4 linked regions of the Oryctolagus cuniculus genome follow. The protein of the gene in region 1 interacts with the protein of each later gene in a pairwise test. Links are inferred from orthologs where the notes say so. Each region holds a gene or a part of one and is shown on either strand. Other genes may lie near its edges.

Evidence for each region.
Region 2: the proteins of BNIP2 (region 1) and KLC1 interact in binary tests that used the Homo sapiens proteins (3 or more experiments, as listed by UniProt). The two-hybrid records come from large-scale screens. The link is inferred for Oryctolagus cuniculus from reciprocal best matches to the Homo sapiens genes BNIP2 and KLC1.
Region 3: the proteins of BNIP2 (region 1) and FRK interact in binary tests that used the Homo sapiens proteins (3 or more experiments, as listed by UniProt). The two-hybrid records come from large-scale screens. The link is inferred for Oryctolagus cuniculus from reciprocal best matches to the Homo sapiens genes BNIP2 and FRK.
Region 4: the proteins of BNIP2 (region 1) and BCL2 interact in a two-hybrid assay, tested with the Homo sapiens proteins (3 studies listed by BioGRID and IntAct). The link is inferred for Oryctolagus cuniculus from reciprocal best matches to the Homo sapiens genes BNIP2 and BCL2.

What each region holds. Positions count from the first base shown.
Region 1 is NC_091443.1:82,562,270-82,567,992, forward strand, and holds the start of BNIP2 (BCL2/adenovirus E1B 19 kDa protein-interacting protein 2), read right to left. Parts: upstream 3,851-5,723; 5' UTR 3,623-3,850; intron 1-3,622.
Region 2 is NC_091451.1:46,418,959-46,424,700, reverse strand, and holds the start of KLC1 (kinesin light chain 1), read right to left. Parts: upstream 3,698-5,742; 5' UTR 3,499-3,697; coding exon 3,488-3,498; intron 3,048-3,487; exon of another isoform or gene 2,831-3,047; intron 1-2,830. UniProt on the Homo sapiens protein: Kinesin is a microtubule-associated force-producing protein that may play a role in organelle transport. The light chain may function in coupling of cargo to the heavy chain or in the modulation of its ATPase activity.
Region 3 is NC_091436.1:55,210,965-55,216,007, reverse strand, and holds part of FRK (tyrosine-protein kinase FRK), read right to left. Parts: intron 3,787-5,043; coding exon 3,628-3,786; intron 1-3,627. UniProt on the Homo sapiens protein: Non-receptor tyrosine-protein kinase that negatively regulates cell proliferation.
Region 4 is NC_091441.1:15,290,539-15,296,103, reverse strand, and holds the start of BCL2 (apoptosis regulator Bcl-2), read right to left. Parts: upstream 3,466-5,565; 5' UTR 3,329-3,465; coding exon 2,783-3,328; intron 1-2,782. UniProt on the Homo sapiens protein: Suppresses apoptosis in a variety of cell systems including factor-dependent lymphohematopoietic and neural cells. Regulates cell death by controlling the mitochondrial membrane permeability. Appears to function in a feedback loop system with caspases.

The sequences.
Region 1 (5,723 bases):
ACTTCTGATCCAGCTCTCTGCTATGGCCTGGGAAAGCAGCAGAAGATGGCCCAAGTCCTTGGGCCCCTGCACCCACGTGGGAGACCCGGAAGAAGCTCCTGGCTCCTGGCTTCGGATCAGCTGAGCTCTGGCCTTTGCAACCATCTGGGGAATGAACCAGCGGATGGAACACTTCTCTCTCTCTGCCTCTCTGTAACTCTGCCTTTCAAATAAATAAATAAATCTTAAAAAAAGATAACAATAGGATGCAACAGGAATAACTGATCTCCCAACAAACTTGGGGTCAGGGTGGCACATCCCTTCCTACACCATTTATCTGTGGAGGTTGTAAAAGTCCCGGTTGGGGCGCCAGTTCTGTCCCGGTTGCTCCTCTTCCAGTCCAGCTCTCTGCTGTGGCCCGGTGGGGGGGGGGGGGGCATGACAGTGGAGGATGGCCCAAGTCCTTGGGTCCTGCATCCCCATGGGAGACTAGGAAGAAGCACCTGGCTCCTGGCTTCAGATCGGCGTAGCACGCCGGCCACTGCAGCCATTTGGAGGGTGAACCAATGGTAAAGGAAGATCTTTCTCTCTGTCTCTCTGTCTATAACTCTATCTGTCAAAAAAAAAAAATTTCAAGGAGATAATGGATTGGGGGAGGGGTGGGGTTGTGATCTGTATATCCAATCAGGATGAAGGAAAGGATTTCCCCATGCAACTTGGCAACAAAAGGCAGAAATCAAACATTAGGGTCATATCTAGAACTGTCCAGTTCCAACTCAACTTAAAATTTTACATAGTAGTAACTGCTGCTGGAATTGGTGCAAGCAATGACCATCTATGCTGATAGAAGAAAAATGCCAGGCAAGCCTTTTTCCACTTAAACAAAAGAGTTTCACTCTAAACATTTATGTTAAGTTTTAAATCAACAACCTATATGTTTATGAGAATTGCCAAAACATCCCCCAGAAAAAATCCTTTATGCTCATCATTGTTCCCTTCAGGGTAGGTAGCATCATCTAAGTTTTTTTTTTTTAAGATTTATTTATTTTTTTATTTGACAGGTAGAGTTATAGATAGTGAGAGAGAGAGAGAGACAGAGAGAAAGGTCTACGGCCAGTGCGCTGCACTGATCTGAAGCCAGGAGCCAGGTGTTTCTTCCCAGTCTCCCACGTGGGTGCAGGGGTCCAAACATCTGGGTCATCTTCTGCTTTCCCAGGCCATAGCAGAGAGCTGGATTGGAAGAGGAGCATCCAGGACTAGAACCGGCGCCCATATGGGATGCCAGCGCCACAGGCAGAGGATTAACCTACTGTGTCACTGCGTGGCCCTATCATATAAGTTTTTAAGAATAAAATGAAAGGCTGGGGCTGTGGCACAGCAGGTAAAACTGCCGCCTGCAGTGCTGGCACACATATCGCTGCCAGTTCGAGACCTGGCTCCACTTCTGATCCAGCTCTCTGCTATGGCCTGGGAAAGCAGCAGAAGATGGCCCAAGTCCTTGAGTCCCTGCACCCTCATGGGAGACCCGGAAGAAGCTCCCGGCTCCTGGTTTTGGATCGGACCAGCTCTGGCCAGTGCGGCCATCTGGAGAGTGAACCAGTGGATGGAAGACCTGTCTCTCTCTCTCTGCCTTTGCCTAACTGTAACTCTGCCTTTCAAATAAGTAAATAAATCTTTAAAAAAAAATAAATGAGATCTCTATGAGAAATGTTAACTCAAAATATCAGTATGCAGGGGCCGCTGTTGTGGCATAGTGTGTTAAGCTACCACTGGCATCCCCTGAGTTCTAGCTTTTGATCCAGCTCCCTGCTAATGGGCCCAGGAAAGCACCAGAAGATGGCTCAAGTGTTTAGGCCTCTGCCACCCACATGGGAGACCTACATGGAGTTCCAGGCTCCTGGCCCAGCCCCAGCTGTTGCGGCCATCTGGGGAGTGAACAAGTGGATGCAAGATCTCTCTCCCCTCTCTGACTCTGCCATTCAAATAAATAAAGAAATCTTAACAAAAAGTGATCAGTATGCAGAACATACTAGAGACCGTTAAAAAGAGCTTAACAACTGTGTGATATTACTATCACCATATCATAGTATTTTTGCTTTATATGAAGTACTCTTAACAAGACACCTTTTGATCCAATGTCAGTCAAGGTTAATATACTGGATCTGGGTCTGTGTCTTTTTTTTTTTTTTTCTAGATAGCTCTTATCCTTATCGCTCAAGCATTAATCCAGTTAGAATGAACAGTGCCCTGTCCAAAACAGTGCTTTTCACCACTTACTGACACTTGTACAACCATCATCTCATCTGCTCCAGCCGACAACTTTTGTGAGGCGCCGACACTGGTATTATTATCCCTGTTCTGTCTTATGTGAGCAAATGACACCACATCCTGGATCCCGGAGCTCCTCCACTGGCAGCTTTATACACGGTAAGTCTCATGGCCGGATCTGGTACACTTAGTTTCAAAGGTTCCGTAATGCCTGCAAGTCACAAGAACCTTCCTTGCTTGATGACAACCTAGTTCAAGTTCATGTTTGCAGAAGATATGTCATACTTTCTAAGCCCAACTTCAGGCTGCAGGAGGAAAGATGATCAAGACCAGGAACGCAGTTTACAAAATAAGAGCTAAGGAGAAAACGTGCAAGATGACTCAGAAACTACTAGTCAGAACGTTAACTTCACTAGGTAACTTCCATTAAAATTCTGGCGAAATGTAGCCATTTACAAATTACAAAATTTCTTCTACAACTGCAGAAGCTCTCATAAAACATCAGAAAAAGGAGACATTTTACTGAAAGTAAAAAATCAAGCAGTACTTAAGTTAGACTCCCCCGTTTAAAAAAAAAAAAAAAAGGCAAGGATGGAAAAAGCACCACTATAATGCACTCACTTCACTCAACCAACTGGGAGGCACTGGGACTACCTTAATGAACACAGAAAAGCTGTCTGCGCAGAGCCCCCCCAGACAGACGAGGTCAGTTTCAAAGCAACGTATTAAAGATCGAAACACATTTCTGATTTAACACGGGTTGATCAAGTAGCTTAGCTCTCCAGGGGCAGCGGACGCACCCAGGACATCAAACCCTTTCTCGCCAGGTACTTAACAGGCCGTGTCTGTAAACACGGAGGGACGCAGCTTTTCACGCACACACCCGGTATTTGGCCGAGCTCGCCCGGGGCCGTCTATAAAGCCCTGTTTGCTGTTTCCGTGCCTAACCCCCGAAGGTACGCGGCACGCCACACAAGTCCAAGTTTCCTTTGTTCTGCAACAGGACAGACTCAGACCACCAGTACGGAACCAACGCGGCCCGTCACCGCGCCCAGACCCCGGGTGGAGGGAGGAGCAGACACGGGGGAAGGTTCCATCCCCGGCACAAGCAACAAAAACGGAAAAGCGACGGAGCTGGGGGTGCAAGGCTGGCAAACGCACACAAGGAGCCGAGCCAAGGGCGGGGACCTGAGCCGGGCGGGGAGCCGGAAGGCGCCTCCCAAGCAGGTTCGAGCGCACCCCGAACAACGGAAAACGCCCTGGGCCTCCGCTCCGCAGCAGCCGGCCTTGGGCAAGCGCCCCTTCAGACGTGCGCCCCCAGCCCAGTTCCCGGCGCCCGGACTCGCCGTGCTGAGCCCTCCCAGGCCGCACTCACCCCGGAGGAAGCCTTGGCCTCCTCGTCCTCTTCTACCCTCCAGGCCGGCGACGTGGTGCTGACTGCCAGGTCGCAGAAGACGGCGCCGAGAGGAGCCCGCTCCTCTCGGTCAGCGGTGCACAACCCAGCCTAGTCCCCGGCCGCAGCCCCAGCGGCAGCTGCAGCGGCAGCAGTTGACCCGGACGCAAAAAGCAGCCCGGGCGGAAGTGACAGCATCCTGACCCTTTCTAGGCTCTGCGGGAGGCGGGGGCGGGGCCGGGGCGTGGGGGGGCGCGGCCGGGGCGTGGGGGCGTGGCTTCCTAGTCAAACCCACAGCTTTGCTCCCTCCTCCGCTGTCCCGGGCTAATACCTGCGCGTGCGCACTTGCGGCAACTGGAGCAGCCCTTGGCTTTTGGGTCTCTACTCTCTTTTTTCCGCTTTTCCCTGCGGTGAGGACGCCTGCGAACTCAGGGTCATTGCTATTTTTCTTCTGCTTGTTTTTACTATCGCTACAGTGCCTGTGTTGTATAAAGTAAATGACCCGAGGGGAGGAAATATATGCGAAGCTTACTTTCAGGCATGTAGATCTCAAGGCAGTCTCATTTAGGGGCTGCTGTTGTGGTTCTGATCGCAGGTTCGAGTCCCAGCTGCTCCACTTCTGATCCAGCTCCCTGCTAATGCACCTGGGAAAGCAGTAGAAGATGGCCCAAGTGCTTGAGCCCCTGCACCCACTTGGGGGCCTGGATGAAGCTCCTGGCTCCAGCGGACTATTGCCAGCGGATGGAAGATGTTCTCTCTCTCCTTGTCTCTGTTAACTTTGACTTTCCAAATAAATAAACAAATAAGCGTTCGGCAAAACTTTCTCTGTAAAGATTTACTTCTTTAATTGAATGGTAGAGTTAGAAAGAGAGGGAGAAACATCGATCTTCCATCCCTGGTTCACTCTCCAAATGGCCCAAGTGCTGAGGCTGGGGCTGGGACTGGGGCTGGGCCAGACCCAAGGCCAGAGGCCAGGAACTCCATCCGGGTCTTCCACTTAGGTGCCCCAGGCCCAGGCACTACCACCATCCCCCATTGCTTGCCCAGGCACCTTAGCAGGAAGCTGGATGGGAAGTGGAGCAGCTGGGACCTGAACAGGCTTAACCTGTTTGGCCACCAAGTTGATCCCAAATCCTCTTTATTTTGAACAGCTTTAGAGCAGTGTTTCTCAAACTATCTCTGGAGTGCCATCAGTTTATTATCATTTTAAAAATTTCTGGCCGGTGCCGTGGCTCACTTGGCTAATCCTCCACCTGCGGCACCAGCACACCAGGTTCTAGTCCCAGTGGTGCACACCAAGTTCTAGTCCCAGTGGGGTGCTGGATTCTGTCCCGGTCGCTCCTCTTCCTGTCCAGCTCTCTGCTGTGGCCCGGGAAGGCAGTGGAGGATGGCCCAAGTGCTTGGACCCTGCACCTGCATGGGAGACCAGGAGAAGCACCTGGCTCCTGCCATTGGATCAGCGCGGTGCACCAGCCGCAGCAGCCATTGTGGGGTGAACCAATGGAAAAAAGGAAGACCTTTCCCTCTCTCTCTCTCTGTCACTCTGCCTGTCAAAAAAATTTTTTTTCCAATTGTGAATCATATTTTAATAAAATATAAATGAAATGAAAAAAGGTCTATGAACTCCAAATGAAAATATTTTTATTACAGTCACCAGCTGTAGCATTTCTTGTAAAATTGCTCTATGGATTTCTAAACTCTGCACCTTAATTTCTGCACTTGCCTCTCTGTAGGCCAGTAACAATCCTGAGGGGATGAGGTCTGTGGACTGTATTTTGAGTAGCAATTCTGCTCTACAGATTTAGAAAGAAAATGAACTTAAGGGCCAGCATTGTGGCATAGCAGGTAAAGCTACCCACCACCTGCAGTGCCAGCCTCCCATATGGTTCGAGTCCTGGCTGCTCCACTTCCCTTCCAGCTTCCTGCTAATGGTCTGGGAAGAGCAGCAAAGGATGGCTCAAATGTTTGCGGCTCTGCCAACCACATGGGAGATCCAGATGAAGCTCCTGGCTCCTGGCTTCCACCCAGCTCAGCCCTGGCCATTGCGGCCAATCTGGGGAATGAACCAGCGGATGGACGATCT
Region 2 (5,742 bases), on another chromosome or scaffold:
TGGACGGCATGTCACAGAGCTGCCCCACCCACAGCAGTGCCACCGGCTGTCAGTTTGGCAGTGGTGGTACAGGGAGCTTCAGAAAGGCCTGAACTCCCACCTTAAGTAGCTCAAGTCAGGGAACAGACCTGGCTCAAACGGAGATAGCTGGGCCCCTGCAGAACCAAGAAACTAACTCCTGCTGCATTTTCATTTTTTTAAGATGTATTTATTTATTTGAAAGAGTTACAGAGAGGGAGGAGGAGGGGGAGGGGGAGGGGGAGGGGGAGGGGGAGGGGGAGGGGGAGGGGGAGAGGGAGAGGGAGAGGGAGAGGGAGAGGGAGAGGGAGAGGGAGAGGGAGAGGGAGAGGGAGAGGGAGAGGGAGAGGGAGAGGGAGAGGGAGAGGGAGAGGGAGAGGGAGAGGGAGAGGGAGAGGGAGAGGGAGAGAGAGAGGGAGAGGGGTCTTCCATCCACCGGTTCACTCCCCAGATGGCCACAACAGCTGGAGCTGAGGTGATCTGAAGCCCGGAGCCAGGAGCTTCTTCCAGGTCTCCCACGCAGGTACAGGGGCCCAAGGACTTGGGCCACCTTCTACTGCTTTCCCAGGCCACAGCAGAGAGCTGGATCAGAAGTGGAGCAGCCGGGACGAGAACCGGTGCCCACATGGGAAGCTGGCATGGCTTTACCCACTACGCACAGCGCCGCCCCCCCCCCCCGCTTCATCTTTTTAAAAGATTTATTTATTTGTTTGGTTGTTTTTTATTTGTTTATATGAAAGAGCAACAAAGAGTTCCCACCTTCTGCTTCACTCCCCAAATGTCCACAACAGCTGAGGCTGGCCCAGACCCCAGCTCCATCCACGCCTCCCACACATCTGCTGCCTTCCCAGGATGCATCAGCAGGAACTGGACGCCCGAGCGGAGCTTCACTCACAGCCCGCACAACCGCCCTACCGGCTGCTTTCAATCTGCACCGCAACTCAGCCGGAAGTCCCGTTCATCCTTTAAAAGTGGAGGCAGTACGCCAGGGACACTCAAAGCAGACCAAGTCCCTCCATCTGCCTCCAAAAGTCAGTTAAGGCGAAGTAAACTGTAACTCCCTGTTGACCCGAGACGGGGAGCAGAATGACACAGCAGGGCTGCAGGAGACAGCCAGCCTCCTGGGGAATTCTAAGGGAACCTGAGTCATTAGCAACTGCCACCACCTAACCCAGCTGAGCTCTCCTCAGCCCTTCCGGCCGCCTAGCCACTCTGAACGCGACCCCTTCCCCTTCCCCTGGCTCCCAAGGGCCTCTCCACACGGCTGGACGTCGGGACGCCACTGGCCTCTCACAGCAGGATACAGCCTCTCCAGTCCCGACCTCCAGCCCACCTGTGTCCGGACCCCTCCCAACCGCCGACTGGGCCGCCTGGGGTCCCACAAGCGCCTGGGATCTAAGGCATCCAAAACCAAACTTGCTTCCGTCCTGTTCCCATTGCCCGTCTTGGTGGGAAGTGAGCCGCGCAAGCCAGAGAGGAGGAAGCCGCTGGAGACGCAGGCCTTCAGCATGGATGAGGCGCGCGGCACTGCCGCTGAGCGGGCCGACAGAACCCGCCCTGCGGCCGCCACCAGGTGACGGTGTTTAGACAGAGGGAGGCTGGGGGGGTCGGGCGGGGCAGGTGCCCTGGAGGCCCCCGAGCCTGGGCACAAGAGGCGGCAGAGGAGGTGGGGTGCTGGGGGACACTGGGCAACCTCGGCGGAGGGCCGCGCCATCTGCCCGGGGTTCTCACGGGGCTGCTCGGCCTGCACCCCAGGGCAGGTCACTGTGACCCCTGCAATCCTCGCTAATCCGGCCGCCCCCACCCGGCTCCCGGGCCAGCTGCCCCCGCACAGCCGCTGGGCTCAGCCGCGGAGCGTCTCCCCACCACTGCCATGAGGAGTCGGGGTGCTGCCCAGGCCAGGCGGCCTGCTGCTGGTGGACACCGCCGCCGGGGGCTGCCCGTCGGCGCAGCACCTGCTCCGTCCAGCTTGCACAATCCTCACTGCCCGGCACCTGCTCTGTGGAGGCGCTGACCGCTTCCTCACCGCGAAGCGCCGGCCTGACACCCACCCACCCACTGAGGACGCTGCCAGCCTGCGCCACGCCTGCGTTTCATTCAGCTCTGCCCTGTCCTGCCTCGTCTATTCTCCAGCCCTCACGGAGAGTGACAGGGCCTTCCCTCTCCAGTGCGACGAAGCACCGCAAGAACGTAAAATCTGAACCGCAGCTTCTGTCGCCGGGCGCCCCTGCCCCTGGGGGCCCTCGGCCCTCGGCCCTGCAGGGGCTGCGGCCAGGCGCCCCGGCCTCCCCGCCCCGCCGGCTGCCAGGCGCGGCTGCACCGGGAGGCTGCGCTACCCACACCCACACCCACACCCACACCCAATTCCACACCACCCGAGACGCCGAGTCCGCGCGGCCGTGCATTCTCACAAGCCCCGGCCCTCCGCCCACCGGGCCGAGCGCTCCGCCTGCGCCTCCGGTGCCCGCACCTCAAAGGGCGTCGTCCTCCCAGCCCACCCGCCCGGACGCCGGCTCCGCCCGCTCTGCCGGTCCACACCGACGGCGGGGCCGGCTCCCCCGTCAGGCCCGCCGCGGCGCTCCGAGGGGCTGACAGCGCTCGCCGGGGCGGTGCCGGGCGGGCGGGGGCGGAAGGCAGCGCCGGCTCGGACAAAGCGCCGGCCGCGCCGCCCCCGCCCGCGGGCTCGGACCCCGCCGGGGATGCGGGGCGGGGCCGGGAGGCAGGGCCGGGGATGCGCGGCCGGCGCGCGGCGACCCGACCCTGCGGGGCCCCGGGCGCGGCCGGGCCGGGCCGGGCCGGGCCGGGCACTCACCGTCCCGCTCGCCGCCGTGCGCTCTCGCGCTGTCAGCTCGGGGAGCGGCCTCGGCCGCCTCAGGCGCGGGTCACGGGGAAGGGGCGCCGGCGCAGCGGCCGCCACGCATCCCCGGCCCGGCGCTGGGCTCTGCACCGCCGGCGCCGCCCGACGCCTCCCTCCTCGCAGCTTCGCCCCGGCCGCGCGCTCCGCCGCCGCCGCCGCCGCCGCCGCCGCCGAAAATGGCGACTCCGCGTCGCGCCCGCCCACAATGCCGCGCGCCCGCGTGACGTCACTCGCGCCTCCCCGGGAGCGGCCGCGGGCGGGGGTCGGGGGCCGCGCGCCGGCTCCGTGCGCCCCCGAGCGCGCCCCGAGGCGCTCACGCCCCCCGGCGCGGACGCCGCCCCGCCCGCCCCCCGGGTGCGGGCCGGGCCCGCAGGGCGGTGCCCGCGGCCGCCGCATCCCCGCTGCGGCCTGACTCAGCAGCCGGCCGAGGGCGCCGCTGACTCAGGGGCCGGCGCGGGGCCGCGCCCTCGGCGCTGTGGTCGGCCCGCGCCCGAGCCGGTGCGGCCCCGCGCGCGGGGGTCACGGCGGCCGGGCGTCCCCCTGCTCGCGCCCTGCGCCCCGGCTCGGCACCCCCCGAGGACCCCCGGCGGCCCCGCACCGCTCCCTGGGTACCTCTGACCCATGCCAGTGCCCCCGCGGCTCCCTCCGTCACTGAGGGTTAGGGCGAGGCCACGCCGACGGGCAGCACCGGCAAGGTCCCCGGGCAGAGACAGTCCTCCGGCAGGAGGGACCCGGCGGCGCCGGGCAGGGGAGAGGCGGACGCGTCCGTGGCGCCCACCGCTCCCGCGTCCTGACTGCCGTCAGGTTCAGACTCCTCAGCTTGGCCTGCAGGGCCCCAGGACCGGGGCTGCCACCCTCCCCTGCCCCTGGGTTCGCTCCGCTGTCCATGCTATCCACTCTGCCTAAAATGCCCCTCTCCCCCAGCCACTCCGAGACTCAGCCACGAGGCACCTCCTCCAGGAAGCCTTCCCCGCCTGCACCAGCCTCCCGTGCTCTGTGTGGTCAGCCTAGGGCACTGGGGCAGGGAGGGCCTGCGTCCCCTCAGCCCCTGACCCGGCTCTCCTTGGCCTCACCCCTCCCCTCGCGGGGAATGAGGAAGGGTCGGTTCTCAGATCACCGTGCAGCCACAGGAGCCCCGTCGCCTCACGGCGTCGGGACTGCACACTCGGTCACCACCCGTCGGGTCTGCAGCCGGGTTACAGCAGACCGTCAGCTCCGCCAGTCCTGCTGCCAAAGGTTTTCCCCAGCCTGCACGGGGAAGGGGCGTGGGAGGCAAGTGCACGGTCCCTTCTCAAAGGTACCGCATCCAGGCAGGGCAGGCTCCCCGCAGATCCTGGGCCGGCCGGGCTCTCGGTCCGCGTCCGCCCCAGGGGGTGCTGGCTGCTGCTTGAGGCCAGGCTGGTGCTGCACAGTATCTCTGACGCTGACCCATCCCTCGGACAGCAGGTGCGGCCACACCCGCTCACACACAGCAGGCGCGGCCACACCCGCAGGGCTCACACACGAGACGGGTGTTAGCGCGGCAAGGCTGGCTCCTGGCGGGGACAGGGGCTGACCTGGGACAGCAAACGGCCGGCTTCTGAGACAGGAGAAACCCAGAGGGCGGGAGACGGCTGGGAAGGGCGTGGGCCGTGAACCTGTGGGTGCTCGGCCAATGAGAGGGGAGGGCGGGACTTGTGCACCAGGTGTGTGTGAACCTGTGGGTGCTCGGCCAATGAGGAGAGGGGGGAGGGACTTGCGCACCAGGTGTGTGTGAACCTGTGAGTCCTCGGCCAATGAGGTGAGGGGGGAGGGACTTGTGCATCAGGGTGTGTGAACTTTTCAATCCTCGGCCAGTGAGGAGAGGGGGGAGGGACTTGTGTGCAGGTGTGTGTGCCTCGTTCCCTGTTCTGAGTGTGCTGTCCCCAGACACCCGCCCTTGCCAGGCTGTGAACAGAGCCTGGCTTTTCTCTGACCTGTGTGTCAGAGTCCATCCTTCCAGGCCGGGTGGTCTCTGGTGGGCTTATTTCCCACCCCCGTGAGTCTGATTTCCGTCAAGATCCTCAGGAGTTCTGCTCAGCCCTGGAGCCATCAGCAGGCAGCCTGGGCCCCCGGGGCGCTGCCCTGGATCAAAATGTGGGTGCTGTGCCCCACGCCCTGAGCACCCGGCAGCTCCAGCGGGGACCTCAGGAAGCCCACCTGGCGGCGGCACCAGGGCGCGGCGGTCTCCAGGTCATCCTGTCCTGGGGTTTCACTCCGAGATGCTGAGTCCCCTCTGGTCCTGTGCTGCCCACACCTGTCCCTGACTGACAGACGGCACTGCCGTCCTGGGGTTTCCTTGCTGGCCCTGGAGAGGCACTGTCACGCAGGCTGGAGTGGAGGGAGCCCCTCCGTGCCTCCTGTGCGGGTGCTAACTCAGCCAGGGCCCAGGTCCGAGAGGCCTCCGCCTTTGTCGGGGGGACCTAGAGAGCAGGACCCCGGGGCTCCCCGGGTGGAACCTGAATCACCTGTTCATTCAAGTGCCAACGGCACTGAGCAGCCCTGCGGCCAGCAGAGAGCTGGACAAGCAGCCAGGGTCCAGGGACCCTTTGCCAGATGGAAGAGCACTTCCAAGGGAGCCGGGAGAGAGCTGCTCCCCGCTCGGCTGTCGCTATAGGAGCCCCTGGTCCTGCCGTGCAGGGCAGGCCCTGACCCGGGTCCCTCGCCCTCCTCGCCGGCTGTTTCTCCTTTTTCCTTTCCCAAATGGACATACTTTGTCCTCTGCACTCACCGACGTCCAAACCCTTCCCACCTCCGACCCTTCCCTGCCCCGCTCAGCATCCTGGGGAGATGGGCAGGCAGCCTGGGACGCTAAGCAGAGCCTGGGCTGGAGTCACAGATCCGGGCGC
Region 3 (5,043 bases), on another chromosome or scaffold:
ATGCTAAGGTTTTTTGACTGGCTTCTCTGATTTTGGAGAAAATTATAACAAAAAATAGAATCCAGTCAAACTTATGAAGATTGATATGTAGTAAATTAAGTAGTTATTTCAAATATCAAATACAGCACCTAATCTTACATCTTGGATGTAAAAAGGTTTTCATGAGTAGACATAATACTGAAGAAAATCAAGTAATACATGTATCTTATTAGGAACAGAATAGTGTCCTAAGAAACCTCAGCACATACTTCAAATAAAACCTCTATGTATCAAAACTGGTATAGAGATTCACAAACCTGTCACAATTTATATTTGCAGCAAGAAAATATTTTTAATTACTTCCTATTACTCAAGTCTTTCAATTTAATAACATTTATCACGATTGGCTGTGTAAGAGTGGCAGATTCCTTTTAAGGCCACTTTATTGAATTCACATCCTCTGACTGGGAAGGGATTTCTGACAGGAAGCATTTCCCTGTTACATCATCTGGGCTGTTAAATATCCTTACAAATGAAGGCCTTGATAAACTTGACCCTGATGGCCTAACCCAGAAGATGATAAAATTTGTACTCAGTCCTATGAAACCTTATCAACAAGCCACAGGAATCCTCAATGCCCCAGGAAGTTGTTGTGTACTAACTGGGTCTTTTCAAGCTGATGTCAAGAGTCTAAAAACAAGTTTGACCCCAAGATTCAATCATATTAAGGTCAAGATGATCCCAGTTTATTTATTCAATCAGTCAACACATAATTAGTACACATCTTTAGGGTCACACACTATTCTAGCACTAAAATGAAGAGGAATCTCTGCCCTCATGGAGTTATATTTAGGAGATACGAGAAATAAGCTAAATAGATAAGGAATGTAATATGTTGATTAACAGCTAAGGAGAGTAAACAAAAAGCAGATAAGAGGAATACAACGATTCAGTAGAAGACTTAAATTTTAGAATTAATATAGTGAGGTGACCAGTGAAGGATTCACCAAGATGGAAACATCAAAGACTTTAAGGTAATGAGAAGTGAGCATCTGGATAAGAAACTAGAATAATCGCAGCAGAGGAAATAGAAGTGCAAAAACTTTAAGACGAAAGCATTCCTAGAGGATAAGAAGAATAGCAAAGAGTCCTGTGCAGCTGACCAAGTGACCTAGGGGCAAGTTGTATGGGAGCTGAGGTCAGAGAGCTAATGGACAGGTAAATGATCCTGGAGGACTGAGTTAAGAAGAGATAACCAGTGACAAGCACAGAAGGTTTTCATCTAAGGAAGGACAAGCTCTGCTTTGCATTTTAACTGGATCTCCCAAGCCATCATGTTAAAAGGATGCTAAAGAGGACAATAACCAAAAGAGGTGCGCCAATGAGGAGCTTATTGCTGAATCCAAGACACAGATGATATTGGCTTGGATGTAAGAACATTGGGAAGAGGCAAAAATCCTGGATATATTTTGAAGGCAAGTCATTAGATTTGCTGATTGGTGAGATATGGGATATGAGAAGCAGAAATGACTACAAAATATTAGGCCTGAAAGTTGACATTGTCAAAGAAGGAGAGACTGCAAGAGTAGCAGTGCTGGGGAGAAGACAAGGAGATCAGTTTTGGATAAGTCATTCTGAGATATCGAATGGACATGATCAGAATTTAGGGCTGTTCACAAACATTTTTTTACAGAACTGTACTTCCTTACACCCTTTTACTTGATTTGGCCAAGTGAAGAAGGCACACGAGTTACCTCTGTCATATCTAGTCAGAAGCTTTAAGAGCCAGAATTGGATTAGTGTCATCCCCCTTCCCAGCCAGGATGATCAAAAGAATCGAGCCACCATCCAATGCATTTTGCACACATAACATGAGGAAGAATAAAATACATGTGATAAGTCCCTGAGATTTGGGGAACATTTGCTATAGTATACCTTCATTATCTGAGACTGATACAATGTTCAAATGCAGACATTAAAAGGGCAGTTGGATATATTATTTTGAGGTAAAGGGGAAACAAAATTTAAGGAATCATCAGTCATAAACAAGTTTTTAAAAAGAGACTGAACAAGATGAGCAAAGGAGCTATCCAATATGGCTGCAAGACGTCCCCCCTTCCCCAATACTTACCTGCAGGTCATCATAATGTCATCACAATGAAATTATCATGCGGTCACTTCTACTCCCATCATATAGCTAACGCCATGACATTTCCAGTATTTCCAAAAACAGGCATGGAAATAGATGGTACTCAAGCCACACTCCAAATTCTACCTCCTTCTCAATATTCAAATAGGCTCCACTCCAGATATCACCCATTATACCTCTGGGTGGTATCGACCTAAGCTTGTTGAGGGTGAGGGTTGCTTTGCTGAGGGCTTTTTCAATGTTGGAGGTTTTTACAAGGTAAGGGGTTTTGCTTTGGGAACTGTTTACACTTTGTTCATTTCTCTCTCTCTCTCTCTCTCTCTCTCTCTCACTGGCCTTAGTTATTGAGTTTGTACTTTTGTTTGCTCTACATAAATCCAAATCCCCTGTATAACTTTATGCCTCCACGTTTGAATTCCTTCATGCATGGAGGAAGCCTGTAATAAGCCCTGTCAGGAGACCCACACCCCACAACAAGATGGCCTACGATCACGCCTGTATTTTGTCCTAGGAATAGGCAAAAGGGATCAGTGGTTGACATTTGCCTTTTTTTGGTGGGTAACATATTCAACTGCTATTAAATCAGAAGTCTTTATGCAAGAGAGTAAGAATATTTTTGTTTTTAACAGCATTTAACAGGCCTTACTGTGTTCTTTGTTCTTATCTTGCTTTGCAACTTATTATCAGCTTCACTAGTCACCCCAAAATCAGAGAATACTCTTATCTTTCTGAAATCTTTGTTCCATTATTCTTATCTCCTTTTACCTCTATACATTTTTTCAATCTCACTCTGACACTTCAAGAAATTATAGCAAAAGTCTCTTTCTCAAGCATGAATTATTCTCTCAGTACTTGATCTCAACTTCTTTGAACATCTCATTTTAATACTTATTATATTATTTATTAAATTATTCATTTGTAATAAACATCAAAATTTCACCATGCCCTTAAGACTTCTCTGACTACAGGAAGCTGATATAAGAATAATGCAATAATCTATATCTGCTTTTTAGTCTGAAAATTCTAATGTTGCCTGGCAGTGGAAGTATTTTAAACACAAATAAATACAATACTGTCAAACACTAGCCAAGAAAAAAGAAAAACAAAAGCCTAAGATACTTCTAGCTCTGTTTCCCCAAAAGTATTCCATGTCCCCAAATTCTGTGAAACAGAAAATATTAGCCATGACTGATAATGTTTAGTTAGTATAGGAAAGAAAGCACAAAACATCAAATCTTCAATTCCCTACATTATATTTAAGTACTCTGATTCTACTGTGAACAATTTGCTCTTCCACTACATAAATATTTTTCCTGCCTTTGATGACACAGTACATATCCTGTTAAATAGTAGTTGAGCCACTCAGTGTTAAGACATTCATTCTCACAGCACACACAGTAAATGTCCTTTGGGTTATAGAAGATTTGCTAAATTGACATTTATAGGACTAGTCAAACTAAATTCTTCCTTTTTTCCCTTTTATTAAGTATTTAGCTTACTTTGGAGATATTCTTGCAGACTTCCATGTCTCATCAACTCTGTAATAATATAAATTGGATCTTCTAAAGTGCAAACAGCATAAAGCTGAATAAGCTTTGGATGTCTTAGGCTCTTCATTATCTGTGCCTCCCTCAGGAAGTCATTTGGATCCATTGAACCTGAAACAAGAAGAAGGGGAAATCACTTCACGTTATTGAGGCATTCCTACCCTCACAGCGGCCTGGTGGGAATCACCAAGATTGCTTCCTGCCTCTCAGTAAAGTAAAAGCACAAATCTTCAGAGTTATCAAAGAAGGGAATCAGTTCAACCAGGGCAACCTAATCACTAGATGTGCTGGTATATCAGGGGTGTACGGTTTATGTGTTATGACCTGTAGGTGAAGAAAGGTTGATTCAGGCCTATATGAAAAATGATGAAAAAAGGAGAGACTGACATCCTAATTGATTAAACAAGGCAAGGACCTAAAGAACACAAAGGGAAGACATTCTGTTAACATGAATAAGGGAAGACACCAAACGTTTAATTACTGCAGCCAGAGTTTTTGTTCTAGGATTCCAGGAAGACTGATCGTTGTCCTGTCCTTGGTGCCCACGGCGGGAACAGCTGGAAAACAACCCTAAAACAATGACATTCTATCATATTTATCTCCTTAATTCTATAGGAATATAGAATGCAAGCCAAGTAGAAAACATTCAAAAGCAGTTCCCAAAAGTTATTTTTCTACCAGTTTTATATGTTCAACTTGAAAGTGATATTCAATATTTTCTCCTGAATAATCTGTTTCTTCCATCACAGCATTAATAGCTTAGTCAAATGATAAGTGAGACAGTATTGGGGCCTGCTTGGAGGACTCATCTACAGTTAAATTGTATTTAAGTAGCTCAACTCTGAATCAGTATGCAGAGTGTCAACTGGTAAATATCAAATGGAGTTTAAGGGATGGAAGAATACATGCAGTTTACATTTCATCAGTAATTTGAAAATCTCTTATTTCCTTTAGGATGTGATATTTCAGAGACAATATTTGAAATTGTCGCTTCACATCTTAGTATTCACTACAGATAATGCAAATATCATTCCCATCGATGCTCAGAGATGGTCTCATCCATCATCCTCTCCATGTTGAACACCTCACAACCGATATTTGAACCTGGCATGGATAAGCTTTGATATTCTAAAGTCAGTATGACTTGTTTATTAATGTGAAGTTAAAAAGAGGTATATGTGACCTTCATATCATTGTACACAAAACATTCAGGCAGTGTAGTTCAGAATCCAGGACTGGTCAAACTCTGGATTCTGGACAAATCTCAGCTTTGCCACCAGTTCCCTGTGTGACCATGAGTAAGTTTCTAATCTCTCTGAATTTTAGTTTCTTCATGTGTAAAATGTGACTAATAACCCTACTTACCTC
Region 4 (5,565 bases), on another chromosome or scaffold:
GCCACACTCCACTCCACACCCAATTACTTCTTTAGTCTTCACGTAATTTGTGAGCTTCTAGGATCATCTCTCAGAGGCTGAACATTCCAAGGACCTGCTTTCTCCGTGTCACGAAACACAGAATGCAGACGTTTCCCCCAGCCTTAGAAGGTTCTGATTTTGCAGCAGCAAAGAAGAAAAAGTGGCTCCAAGTCTGAAGCCTGGAGTGTTGGGTGCGGTATTTAGCAGTTGGGCTGACTGATCCACTGACCCCTGGCAACAGTGCCAATCATTTCTGCAGGTCAAGAAAATAAGTTAGTTCTGTGAAACTTTACCATTGTCACTAAGACTTCTTTACAGTCTGAGATGCAACCCTGACTTTGTGAACTGTAAGGAAAACCTGTCTTTCTGAAAGCCAAATGTTTAAAATAAAAATTTAGATTAATAATACACATTTGAAATGATAGGCAAATCATGTATAACTCTCAAATACTACCACTTTTATTATTCCAGAGTATCCACATATGTTTGCATTTCCTGATTTATACTCTTTTTTGTTGCCAAATTCCTTTGTTTTCCTGTAGTCATCCATCTACGTGTTGCTCTGAAAACTATTACACATTTTACCATCAGCCATTTGTGCTTCTATATGATTTATTTTTACTGTAAGAGGTTTTGTCAAAAAATTTTTATCATGTGCTACAGAATGTCATTGTGGTTTGGCATCATAAAATGTAGCTTGTGCATTTATCGACCTCAGATACCTGTTGACCACAAAGATAGGCTCTACAACGAAAACTCTATTGTGAAAGGAAGAAAAAGTGAGCCCTCATTTAAAAGGAAACCTCAGTTGTATGAGACATTAACATACTGCAGCTCAACAACAAACATCAAGGTTCTATCTTAATCTCCATCATAAACATGTGTCTGTTTCCTACCACTTTATTAACTTGCTTGATACATGGCGGTTTCCACCATGGATTTCTTTCAACTAGACAGAACTTTTTTTTTAATATGGATTTCTTTTTTTTTTTTATGAAAAATAGGAACCAGGAGACCTATTAAATCAGTTTTACTTTGGTTTTAGAATGATCCTTGCGGAGTCTACAAGTCCCTTCCTCTTTGGTTATGGTGATTAAAAATCAAACCAGCTGCTTAACTAAACACTTAACAAAAATATTCTTTTCATCCTTTAGCAAATTACTCCAGAATCACTAAAGACCTGATAATGTGGGATTTCAACAAACAATCCATAAAGAGTCATTAAATTTTAGAGATTTAAATTGGGATATTTTAGTTAATTTTACATTCAAACATTGAACAGTGGCATCAATATTTTGTCAACTTTGGTCAAATAATATCAGATGTCCACATCAATCACCTACATTTCTTGGCCCCGTCTCTTTTTGGCCCCTTAATATTAGCATACTTTGAAAAATGGAGCAAAAATGAAGAAATGTGCTTCTTGCAGTCACGTCTAGGCTTTTGGATCCCATTAGGTTCTATAATGTGAGTCATTCTCCTAAGAGACTATAGAAGAGCTCACAGAAATGCATCCTTCTTCCAAGATAACTCTTCAGACTAAAAACAAAGTTTAACAAAACTCCAGACAAGAATGATTACTTTCTCATAAATTAATCCTTTTAGGTAAGAGATGGAAATCTTAATTAAGCACCGTTGAGTCTTGGGATCCGCACCCCAGTCCCAGAGCATCATGGAAAAATACAACTGCGTGGTGAACAGGATCGAAGCTCTATCTAGCAACCGCCCCGGAGCGGGAGAAAAAGCGTCTTACCAAGGTTCTTAAAAGTCACAGCTGCTCATCACTTCAACCCTGGTCAGCGCATGAAAGAATCCACAGCTAAAGATCAATTCTTCTACGCTTTACATAGTTTCCCTAGGTGCAAGTTTCTCTGTGAGTGTGTGTGGTGTATGTAAGCAGAGACCACAAAATCATGTGGCGTCTAGGTGGTAAAATGTAAGAGATGGTAAAACTCCAGGAAACTTCTAAATGCGACACAAGGGACAGCACACAAAGTCTGCAGCCAATCCAAACCCCATCACTGACAAGAGGACGCAGCGCATCCACAGACTGCTGCCCTTCAATGCACACCATCGTGTCCACTGGGTCACGGCCCGACCAGCAGGTGAACACTCCCCCGGCTCTCCCTACGTCCACTTACCTCTTCACAAACACAGCTAAGACCTTCAGGGAAAGGGGTTACACTGGGCTTCCTCTGGGGCAGTTTTTACCCAGTGAGGCAAACATGTTCTTGGTCCTCTGGGGGAGTCTGTTCTTCGATGGGGTGGCTTACAACTTTTAGGACAAAGACAAATCCACCAGGGGAGCCTGTTTAGGATGCAGACTGCCAGGGCCTCGCCCTGGGGTGGTGGTGGTCGTGGGATGCGCGGTGTGTCTGGTCCACACCAAGTCCCTGAAACCTGCGATTTCAACTACCCAGGCCACGTAACTGTGGTGCTGGGGACTCCGCAGCCCCAGTTTGAGAAGCACGGGAAGGCAGGACCATGCATCACAAAATCCTACTGGGCCGCAAAGGCAGCATCTGGGAGCCTCCAGGGCTGGCACACCACTTTTGGCGGGAAGCAGTTGCCCTAGCTGGGAGGGCAGGGTGCGCTTCCTGCAGGGCGCGCTGGAGGGAAAGCAGGGAAAGTGACACACCTGCTGTTAGCTCACGGGCTCTGCAGTCTGCCCCGGCCCCCGGGGTCCACCCACACCCTCGCCACGGCATCTCGGACCTGCGACCGCAAGCCCAGACTCACGTGCAACCAGACAGGCACCTACCCAGCCTCCATTATCCTGGATCCAGGTGTGCAGGTGCCGGTTCAGGTACTCAGTCATCCACAGGGCGATGTTGTCCACCAGGGGCGACATCTCCCGGTTGACGCTCTCCACACACATGACCCCACCGAACTCAAAGAAGGCCACAATCCTCCCCCAGTTCACCCCATCCCTGAAGAGCTCCTCCACCACCGTGGCAAAGCGCCCCCTCGCGGTGAAGGGCGTCAGGTGCAGCTGGCTGGACATCTCCGCGAAGTCGCGGCGGTAGCGCCGGGAGAAGTCGTCGCCCGCCTGGCGGAGGGTCAGGTGGACCACAGGTGGCACCGGGCTGAGCGCGGGCCCCGCGGCGGCCGGCGGCGGCGGCGGCGAGGTCCTGGCGGCCGGGTCCCGGGGCGCAGCGGGCGCGGGCTGGGAGGAGAAGACGCCCGGCGCGGAGGCGGCGCCCGCGTCCCCAGCGTCCCACTCGTAGCCCCTCTGGGACAGCTTATAGTGGATGTACTTCATCACGATCTCCCGGTTGTCGTACCCTGTTCGCCCGGCGTGCGCCATGCTGCCCTTGGGCGCCCGCGGTGCCTCCGGCCGCGTCCCGCCGCACGGGCCCGCTCAGAAGCCGGCGGGGTTCCCGGGCGCGCGCCGCATCCTCGGGCGCGGGGGTGTCTTCAGTCACGCGGAGCCCTCGCTTCTGGTGTTTCCCCGTTGGCAGCAGGCGCAGGAGATTTTTACTCAAATCCCTTTCGGATCTCTGTTTCACGAGGCACGTTATCATTCATAAGCGTGGTGAACGCCAGTCTTTTCCCTACGTGATGCTAGAAGGTTGGAAAAAAAAAAAAGGCAAACAAACAAAAACAAAACCTGGTTAAGCCAAACTCAGGTGCGTTCTCCGGCACACACGGAGAGAAAGCGGGGGCATGCACGCTGCGGGCCACACGGCTAAAAACAACGCATTCAACTGCCTGAAAATTCACATTTACTCGAAGGCACTCCGAGTTAGCATCTCGAGTGCCGCCACCGAAAGTTACGCGAGCCCGATCTGCTGCGCAAAGAACTTACTTGTGTTTTTAAAGGACAGCATGACCCTCTGTCCAGTTTCCTTCTCTGCAAAACCAAAACAAACGCATAAGGCAAGGATCCCATCAATCTTCGGAGCTCCCGGGTGAGAGCCGCTTGGAAACTTCCGAATGAATCGGGAGGCGGCGGGCGCGGGTGTAGGCACCCCGGGGCGGGGGGGTCTCCAGGCTGGCCCCCGGGTTTCTGCTCCTCAGAAACGTCAATCCGCAGGAATCCGGCCCCGAGCTCCGGAGCGCGCTCCGTCCGGGCTCCCCTCGGCCACTGACAGGCGCGCGCGCCGCGCGGGCACGGCGCGGACTCTGCCCCGGACGCCGACGGGGCCCGGCCGGCGCGGGGTCCTCTTCTGATTCAACTCCGAGAGCAGCCGACGCGTTTTCCGAAAAGCTGCGGATCAATGAAGGCAGGACGCGCCGGCCTCGCGAGGAGCCCGCGCCGTGTGTGGTGCGGCCAGGGTGGGGAGCGGGGGAGGGTTTTATTTTTTTTTTCCCTCTTTTTCCTAAAAAGGATGACTGCTACGAAGTTCGCCCCCCTGGACCCCTCTTCCGCTGCACCCGCCGGCGCACCCGCCTCCGGGCTGCGCACCCTTTCTGCTCCGCCCGCTCCCGCGCCGGGGCGCTGGCGGCGGCGGCCGCCGCCTCCTCCGGTCGCGCCGTGCGGCAGCTCCGCGCTCTGACGGCCGCTGGCGGGGGGCCCGGCGCCCGGGCACCTTCGCGGGCGGCGGCGGCGGCGCGGCGGGGACCCCGGGAGCGGCGGGCGGGCGGGCCGGCGGGCGGGCGCGCGGCGCGCGGAGGAGGGGCGGGGGCGGGGAGGAAGGGGGCGGGCGGGGGCCTGGCCGCTGACTTCATTCTCCTCACAAACCGACTGGTTTCCTGTACGTACGTCACTGTTCATTCAAAAAAAGAAGAAAGAAAGAGCCCTCCTCTGAGCCGCCCGACGGCCCCCCCCTCCGCCCCGCTCCCCTTCCCCGGTTAAAGGCGCCGCGGCCGGCCGGGGCCCGCCGGGCACACATGGCGCGCGGGGCCGCGGCTGGGGAGGGCGCGCCCGGGCCGGCCGCCCGCGGGGCCCGGCCGGTGGGTGGCGCGGCCGCGGCGCGGTAGGTGTGCCAGGGGCCTCCCCGGGCCTGCGGCGGGCTCGGCCTGCGCTCGGGGGTCGCCGGGGCCCGCCGGTGGGCCACGGGCGCCGGGCTGGCCGCACGCGGCCGGGCCGGGCCGGAGCTACGCCATGAAAACAAGGGCTGCAGAGGCGCCGGCAGCCGCGTGGACCTTCCGGGCCGGGCGTGTGTGTGTGTGTGTGGAGAGGGTGCGGGGCCACGCACATCGCGCGCAGGTCAGCGCCGTGGGGAGCCCGCGGCCCTCGCCGGCCCTCGCCAACCCCCAGCCGTGAGACCACCCTGAGAAAGTCGTGTTTACTTCCCTCTCGCCTCCCGGGCGTCCATGCAGGGCTTAGGCGCTCACGCACGGCAGCCGGTCACCGGCTGGACTCCGGCTCGGAGGCCAAGGCCGGACGCCACCTGAACGGGCCGGGAGGAGGGTGGGGTGCCCTCTCCCCGGAGCACTTTTCGCCCTGCGTTAGCACCGGGCGCGGGGCGGCGTGCAGGGCTTTCTCTGCACCTTTGCCATTCAGGGCAGCACCTGACGGGCGACGGCCGCGCGCGCGCGCGCATGGACAAGCAGACACGTTTACAAATGCGTCCTCGTGGAGAGCCCCCAGGAGAGAAG